2 linked regions of the Oryctolagus cuniculus genome follow. The protein of the gene in region 1 purifies or fractionates together with the protein of each later gene. This does not show direct contact. Links are inferred from orthologs where the notes say so. Each region holds a gene or a part of one and is shown in the gene's direction. Other genes may lie near its edges.

Region 1 (4,109 bases):
GGGCCATGGTCCAGTGCTTTCCCAGGCCACAGCAGAGAGCTGGGTCGGAAGTGGAGCAGCCAGGACTCGAACTGGCGCCCAGCCCAGCACGCCTCGGCGCCGGCCCCCATGGTGCAGCTGCCTGAGCCAGCACCGGCTCTGTAGGGGCTCTGGTTCCAGTCCTGCTTCTCCCCAATGTGGCTCAAGACAGCCCCCGCCCCCTGCCTGGGGGGCCCGCGTGCGGTTCCTAGAGCCTGGCTTGGGCCTGGTGCAGCCCCTTACAACAAATAATTCTTTAAAAGGGTCCCTTTGACAGTGAAAATTGTGCCCCCTTGTGGCCGGTGCGGTGTGCCTAGCAGGTGTCCCGGCCGCTCCGCTCCCGATCCAGCTCCCTGCTGTGGCCTGGGAGAGCAGCGGACGATGGCCCAGGTCCTGGGGCCCTGCACCTGCGTGGGGGACCCGGATGGAGCTCCTGGCCCCCGGCTTCTGTTGCGACCATTCGGGGAGTGACCCAGCAGGTGGAAGACCTCTCCCATCCCTCCCGGCCTCCCTCCTAAACCTGCCGGGCTCCCCGATGCACACAATTCTGTCTTCCCCACGGTCCGACCCGGCAGCTTGCTCAGGGCGAATTCAACAGAGGCACCCGCCGCTCTCACACGGGCCCGCGGCCGCGCTGTCCCCACCAGGGTCCTCCGTGGCGGGGGTCTTTTATTCCCAGCACCGTTTTGTGGACAGGGAACCCTCGTTCGGGAAGGCGAGTTTGCCTTGACTCCGTCTGCGCCCGCGGGGGGCTCTCCCACCCCAGGGCCCCCCCCTCGACCCCCTGCTGACCCCCAGGCAAAGGTCCTGGGGCTGGGGGCGGCCCCTCGCCCCCTCCCCGCCTATCTCCCTCCAGGGCCTGCGCGCTCAGAGTTTTTTTTGGGGGGTGGGGGCTCCCCTTTGCCACTCGGTCGGTGCACACCCCGCTCCTCTCTGCCTTGCCGGCCCAAGCGGCCCCCAAGGCCCCATGGGGCTCGCGGGGCGCCGACTGTGGGCAAAGTGGGGCTGGGTCCCGGGGGACCTTGAATGGGGGCTTTATGACGTAAGCGCCCGGGAGCCAGGGGCGCCCCTGACCGCTTCTCCGCGCGGCCCAGCCGGCCCCACGGTCAGCTCCCCGGGGCCCAGGCCGGGGACTCCCAGCGCGGCGGCCCGCGGGGAAGCGCGCTCGTCGCCTTGGCAACGGAGGCCGGAAGAACCACCGAGACGCGGCTTCAGAATACAGAGCGGCCGCCTCCGAGGTACCCGGGTCGATTGTCACGTGGGCGGCCCGCGAAGGCGGGACTTCCGGCTCCGCGCTATTTTCTTTCCGGTTGTTAGCTTCTGTCAGCCCCTCCCTGCCTGGGCCGTGCGCCCCCCCCCCCGCGCCCGCCGCGGCCCCCCGCCGCCGGGCCCCCCGCCAAGATGAAGAAATTCTTCCAGGAGATCAAGGCAGACATCAAGTTCAAGAGCGCGGGGCCCGGGCAGAAACTCACAGACTCCGCGGGGTAGGGGACGGTGAACGGGGCAGGGGGCTGGGAACCGGGGAGCGGGGTGGGCGGCCTCTGGGGACCGGGGAGGGGGCGGCAGGTGCGGCCCGGGCTGGGAGGGGGCGGCCGGGCGCCGAGGGGCGCCCCTGGGGGCGGGGCCGATGCGGCTGACACTCCGGTGGGCGGGGCCGATGGGGCCGGGGAGACAGCTCGGGGGCGCACCCCCCGAGGGGCGGGGGAGGGGCGGGGCTTGGGAGGCGGGGGCGGGGCGTGGGAGGCGGGGACGACCGCGGGGCGGGGCGGGGGCGGGGCGTGGGGGCGGGGACGACCGCGGGGGCGGGGCGTGGGATGCTTGGACGACCACGGGGGTGGGGCGTGGGAGGCGGGGACGACCACGGGGGCGGGGCGTGGGAGGCGGGGGCGGGGGCGGGGAGTGCAGGGCGTGGGTTTCTGGAGAGTCTGGGGGCGGGTTGGGGACGACCGCGGGGGCGGGGCAGGGGCAGGGCGTGGGGGCGGGGACGACCGCGGGGGCGGGGCGTGGGAGGCGGGGCGTGGGGGCGGGGACGACCGCGGGGGTGGGGCGGGGACGACCGCGGGGGCGGGGTGGGGGCGGGGCGTGGGAGGCGGGGACGACCGCGGGGGCGGGGCGTGGGAGGTGGGGATGACCCAGGGGCGGGGCGTGGGGGCGGAGCAGGGCGTGGGGGCGGGGACGACCGCGGGGGCGGGGCGTGGGGGCGGGGATGACCGCGGGGGCGGGGCGTTTGAGGCGGGGGCGGGGCGTGCAGGGTGTGGGTTTCTGGAGAGTCTGGGGGCGGGTTGGGCGGTGGGGTAGTGGGGGCCACGTCCGCGTTTCCACGAGAGGAGGGGCCCGGGGGATGGGGAGGGCTGGCGGGAGGGGCTAGGGTCCGCCTAGGACAGATAGAGGCGGCGTACAGGGGAAGTAAGGGGGTGGGGGGGCCTTGAGCTGGCGTGGACCAGGGGCGTCTCCCTGCTGCCTCCAAGACCCCCGGCCTCATCCCACCCCGTGGGACTTTCTGGGCGGGAGACACAGGACGTGTGGGGGCTCTCCAGTGGGGACCGCGTGAGGAACAGGCAGGCGGTGTAGACAGGAGCAGCGGGGAGCCCAGTGTAGACGGGGGAGGCAGGCACCCCAAGTGGGCGGGCCTTCAAGGCCACGGGAAGGGCTGGCCAGGGCGTCGGGGAACTGAGTCTCTGGGGGAAGATGGAGCAGCCACAGGGCCAGGGGGCTTCCTCGGGGGTCCTCTTGGGCCAGCAGCCAGCCGGGGGGAGGCCTCGTCCAGGCCGCTGCCCACGGGCGGGGAGGGGTCGCCCAGGGGTCTGCCGGGGCCCACGGTGGAGAAGGAAGGCGAGCCCCCCAGATCCCAGCGGCTCGGAGCCGGGGCTTGGACGGGGGGCTCCCGGCCGGCCTGCTCAGCGCCTGTCCGCGCGGGGCTGTGTCCACGTGCCCCTGCGGCCGCCCCCCGGCCTGCTGGACTGGAAGCCGCCGGGTAGCAGGGGTCGTGGCTGGCATGTGGGCTTCCCAGAGCCGTGAAGGTTTGCAGGGAGATTTTAAGATTTATCTCTCATTTATTTGGAAGAGTCAGGGAGAGAGGGGCCGGTCCCTCTGCTGGCCCACCCCCAACGTGGTCAGCACGGCCAGGCTGGAGCCGGGAGCCTCAGGTGGGCCTCACAGGGGGCCCACGCACGTGGGCCGCTGCCGCTGCTTTCCCAGGCTGCTCTCTGGGGCCGGCGCTGTGGCGCAGCGGGTTAGAGCCCTGGCCTGCAGGGCCACATCCCATACGGGCCTTGGTTCGAGTCCCAGCTGCTCCACTTCCAATCCCGCTCCTTGCTGTGGCCTGGGAAAGCAGTGGATGACGGCCAAGTGCTGGGGCCCCTGCACCTGCGTGGGAGACCCGGATGCGGCTCCTGGCTCCTGGCTTTGGGTTGGCGCGGCTCCAGCCATTAATGGCCTTTTGGGGAGTGAACCAGAGGATGGAAGACCTCTCTCCCCAACTCTTTCAAATAAATAAACATTTTAAATATATTTTTTGCTGATTGGAAAAGCAGAGAGAGGAGGCTCCCACTTGCAGCCATGAGCCGGGGACTCAGCCCATGGGTGCGGGGGGGCCCTGCCTGAGCCGTCACCCCTGCCCCAGGGTGCTGGGACCCGGGCTCGCGGTGTGGGCGTCCCCAGGGTCTCGGGGCCGTGAGGAGGCGGCGACCTGAGCCCAGGGCTGCAGCCGGGGGGGGGGGGGCGGGGGAGGCCGCGGGGAGTGGTGTCCCCGGGGCCGGCAGGGCTGGGTCTGCGTGCCAGGGCAGGGGCGGGGCAGGAGCCTCCCCTCTGATCTCGCGCTGCCTCGGTCACTGCGCAGGGAGAAGGCCCCCAAAGAGAAACCCAGCCAGCTGGCTCTGAGGCCGCCCCGCCAGGGACCCACCGATGAGGCGCAGATGGCGGCCGCCGCCGCCCTGGCGCGGCTGGAGCAGAAGCAGCCCCGGGCCCGGGGCCCCACGTCGCAGGACTCCATCCGGAACCAGGGTGAGCCGCGGCCGTCCTCGGGCCGGGGCCGGGGCCCTGCTCTGGGTAGGGTTTCCCGACCAGCGCCTGCGAGCCTGCAAGGGAGGTGT
Region 2 (4,227 bases), on another chromosome or scaffold:
CACCCAAGCCCACGGGGCAGCCTGTGCAGAGGGGCGCAGTGGGTGGGGCCAGGTGGGGCCAGGACACGCCTTGTTTTACACCTCAGTGTTAGGGGAGGATGGATTTATATGGAAGGGAGAACACCAGAGAGAGGCAGACACCCACGCACCCACCCACCCCCACACCCCATCGGCTTCCATCTGCTGGTTCACTCCCCAAATGGCCACACAGCCTGGTCTGGGCCAAGCCAACACCGGGAGCCTGGAACTCCACCCGGTCTCCCACGGGAGCTGCGCCGGCTCCCAGCTGGGTGCCAGCGTTGCCTGCGGTGCTGCCCCTTCTCCCCCTGCTTCCGGCCTGCAGACCCCGCCTCCCCCGCGGGGCTCGGGCCTTGGGGCCGCGGGCTGAGACTTCTCGGCCGTCAGGAGCCTCCGTCTGCCCGCAAGCTCTGGGTTCAGTTTCTGGCACAGCAAATTCACTCAGCAACCTCTGGACACACAGTCTGTATTCTCTAGTGACGTGTGCGCCAGGGAGAGGAATAGCCCGGCTAAGGCACCTCCTGCGGCGCTGCATCCCACGTGGGCCCGGGTTCGAGCCCCGGCTGCTCCACTTCTGATTCAGCTCTCTGCTGTGGAAAGCAGAAGCCGGCCAAGTGCCAAGAGTCAGAGCTCACAGGCTCAGCCAGGGGGACCCCGCAGACTCCAGCCGGGCCACGGCTCAGGCCATGTGTCCTGGGGGCCGGCCAGTCGTGGGCCATTTGGCCGCCTGGACCCTTCAAGCCTGGATCCGGACTGTGGAGAGGCCCAGGCTGCTCAGCTCTGAGGACGGCCTCGGCCATGACAGGCGGTGTGGGCGGCCCCGCTGCTGTCAGTCCAGGAGCCCCAGGTGTGCCCGCCCCGCCCCCAGCACCGAATTCGGAATTCAGCCGGGTCAGGACAGGCAGCTGGCCATTAGCGGCCCGGGGGCGGGGTGTGAGGGGTCAGAACATGGACCCAGCGGCCGCGGGGTCGGGGGTCGGCACGGACCCGGCGGCCGCGGGGTCGGGGGCTGTCGCTGCTCTGGGTCTCCTGGCTCCCTCAGAAACGCCTCATTGGCCCGGGCTTGGCCAAGGGAAGCCCCCCGGGGCCGAGGAAGCGTCCCTGCCGCCGGGCTGAAGCCCAGGGCCAGCAGAGGGCCGGGGCGGTGCGGGGCCGGGGCGGGGGCCGCAGAGACAGGCGGGCGGCCGTGAGGGCCGGCACTGAGAGCCAGCCGTGCGCCTTCCGCCCGGGCCGGCGCTGGCGGCTACTCCACGAGAGTGGACGTCCGGCAGGGACACCGGGGCCCCCACGGCGCCCGTTGAGGGCACCGCGCGCCCCGCTCCTCAGAGCGCCGGCTGCGCGGGCCAGGGGCGGGGCCCGAGCGCAGGGGCGGGGCCTGGGGCCCGGAAGGGCGCGGCGGCCCCGCCCCCGCCGGCCGCGTGGCTGTGCGTCCCGGCTGTTGCCGATAAAGTTGTTTGAAGCCCGGCCGGCCGCGGGTCACGTGAGCGGAAGATGGCGGCCCCGGCAGGCGGCGGCGGCTCCGCGGTGTCGGTGCTGGCCCCGAACGGGCGGCGCCACACGGTGAAGGTGACGCCTAGCACCGTGCTACTGCAGGTGCGGCAGCCGGCCGGCGGGGCGGCCGGGCGGACGGGCGGACGGGCGAGCGAGCGGGTCCGCCGCGCCGGCCCGCCCCCCGCGGTTGGCTTCGGGCCTCGGGGCCGGGCCTCGGGCGAGCCCGTGGTGGGCGCGGCCTGAGGGGGCCAATGAGCGGGCTCTTGCCCGGGAGGCCCCGCCCACCTGGCTCGGCGGGCGCCGGGGTTTGCGCGGGGGTCGCAGGGGCGTGGCGCGCCGGCCCCACGTGCGCGGTCCCGGCGTCCCGGGCCGCTGGGGTGGCCGCGGTCCGTGCGCCCGGCGGGGGTTCTGCTGAGTCACTCGCTGCTCCGTGGCGGAGGTCGGGGCGCCGTGCGGCCGGAGCGGCACCCTGGCCCCGGTCTGGCCCCGTGGGCAGCGCTCGCGGGCACGCCCAGCGGGGATCCCAGGGTGGGAGGCAGGAAGCGTGGGCCGCGGAGCTGGCCGGCCCCGGGGCGCGCGGAGCGGGCCTCGTGGGAGGTCGGGGCGTGACGGGGCTTGGCCCTGGGCGGCCCCTGCACTGAGGTTCGCTTTGTCCTCTTCTCTAGGTCCTGGAGGACACGTGCCGGTGTCAGGACTTCAACCCCAATGAGTATGATCTGAAGTGAGTTTGGGGTTTGCCTTGGGCAGGGCGCCAGGCGTCCACGCCCCCTCCCTGGAGGAGCCGTGGGCGACTGGACCCCGCCCTGAGGTCCGCCTTTCCTCTGGCTTTGCCCCTGGCCGCAGGTCCTCCTGCGCTGTCCTCTCCTGCGGCCTTTTCCCACTCCGTGTTGCTCTCCTGCGTCTCGCGACACCTGTCGGGGTTCGAGACCCACCCGACCCACGGCGTGCAGCGTGGTCTCCGGTGGGGCCCTGGGAAATGAGAGGAAGCTCTGCCAGCCGTGGGCGGAGCCCTGTGGTCTCGCCCGTGGGCCCTCCGCAGAGGCTGTCCGGATTCCCGGTCTGAGCCCTCGTGGGGAGACGTGGGTTTCTCCCGCTCCCGCTGAGCCTTACACCTTAAAGACCCACCCCAAGGCATCACGTCCTGGCCTCGGGCCAGACTTGTCCCCGCCGTCCTGCTCCCCCAGCCTGTCGGGGGTGCCCAGGGAGAGGCTCTGCAGGGGACACTGCAGCCCAGAGCCCGCGGCGTGTGCTGTGCCACCTCTGGTCTCTGGATCTCGCGGTGCCAGGCCGCGCTGGCCTGGAGCCAGCAGCACTCACCGAGCTCGGCCGCGGGGCCCAGTGCCCGTGCTCTCGGGGTTCCTGGGCAGCAGCTGCGGTGTCCTGGACTCCGCACGCTGATGGCATTTCTAGTCGCCTTCTGGCCGTGGTGAGGGTTGGTGCTGGGTGTGCACCTGGGCCCTCAGCGGCGCAGCTCGGGAAGCCGGCAGGCGTCGGGTGGCTGCCGTGGCGTTTGCCGCATTCGGCTGTCACGGTCTCCCCCAGCTTCTTATTTTCCCATTTAGTACTTTTTTCCTTCTGTGGGTTCCCACACCCCAGAATTTCAGAGGTTGGAGCTAGTGGGGCTGGCATTCAGCCCGGGGCTGAGACACCAAGGCGCCGTGCCCGGCTCTGCGCCCGCGTCCTGCCCGCTCGCGCCCTGGGAGGCGGCGGTGGGGGCTGCAGTGGCCGGGTCCCTGCCCCCACGAGGGAGCCTGCGCCGAGGTCTCGGCCCAGCCCAGGTCTGGCCCAGCTCTGGTGTTTGGGAGCAAAGCGGCGGAGGGGGACGCTCTCTGTCCTTCCACCTCTGAAACAGAGAAAACAGCGCAGAGTTCAGTGTGACGCCAGAAACAGGAAACGGGTCTCGCCCTTCTGGGCGCTGTCTCTTTTTTCCCCAGATTTATTCATTTGTTTATTTGAGAGACAGAGAGACACAAAGAGACAGAGCTCCCATCCGCTGGTTCACTCCCCAGATGTCTTCAACAGCTGTGGCTGAGCCAGGCTGCACCCAGGAGCCAGGAGCGCCATCCGGGCCTCCCCGGCCAGCGGCAGGGGCCGGACGGGCAGCGGAGCATCCGGGGCCTGAGTGGCCCAAGGCTTCGCCTGCGGGACCACAGTGCTGCCCTGTCTGTGCACTCTGCTTGAACGGCAGGGACACAGAGGCAGAGTTTCCGTCCACAGGTTCCCTCCCCAGTGCCCGCAGCAGCCAGGGCTGGGCCAGGCCAAAGCTGGAGGCCCCGTCCTGGTCTCGGGCGCCGGGCGTGTGGGCCCCGATCCGGCCCCTGCTGCTCCCCAGGGGTGCCCACGAGTGCGGTTGGGACAAGCAGCAGGCACCCTGACACAGGACACGGTGTCCCCAGTGTCCCCCGCCGCGCCACCATCCTCCCTCCTGCCTTGGGTGCCTCCTCTCGTGTCCCTGGGAGGGCTCTGGGCCGGCCCCCCCTTTTCCCTTTTTTTTTATAAAGATTTATTTACTTATTTGAAAGAATTACACAGAGAGAGAAGGAGAGGCAGAGACAGAGAGAGGTCTTCCATCCGCTGGTTCACTCCCCAGTTGGCCGCAATGGCCGGAGCTGTGCTGATCCGAAGCCAGGAGCCAGGAGCTTCTTCCAGGTCTCCCACGCGGGTGCAGGGACCCAAGGACCTGGGCCATCTTCTGCTGCTTTCCCAGGCCACAGCAGA

Evidence for each region. Proteins that work in one complex are often made in the same cells at the same time.
Region 2: the proteins of UBXN6 (region 1) and ASPSCR1 purify together in Homo sapiens (affinity purification with mass spectrometry; 4 studies listed by BioGRID and IntAct, counting the BioPlex papers as one, with this or other methods). This does not show direct contact. The link is inferred for Oryctolagus cuniculus from reciprocal best matches to the Homo sapiens genes UBXN6 and ASPSCR1.

Annotation. Positions count from the first base shown.
Region 1 is NC_091447.1:59,807,306-59,811,414, reverse strand, and holds the start of UBXN6 (UBX domain-containing protein 6), read left to right. Parts: upstream 1-1,309; 5' UTR 1,310-1,419; coding exon 1,420-1,502; intron 1,503-3,856; coding exon 3,857-4,020; intron 4,021-4,109. UniProt on the Homo sapiens protein: May negatively regulate the ATPase activity of VCP, an ATP-driven segregase that associates with different cofactors to control a wide variety of cellular processes.
Region 2 is NC_091448.1:964,896-969,122, reverse strand, and holds the start of ASPSCR1 (tether containing UBX domain for GLUT4), read left to right. Parts: upstream 1-1,427; 5' UTR 1,428-1,509; coding exon 1,510-1,611; intron 1,612-1,824; exon of another isoform or gene 1,825-1,987; intron 1,988-2,174; coding exon 2,175-2,230; intron 2,231-4,227. UniProt on the Homo sapiens protein: Tethering protein that sequesters GLUT4-containing vesicles in the cytoplasm in the absence of insulin. Modulates the amount of GLUT4 that is available at the cell surface. Enhances VCP methylation catalyzed by VCPKMT.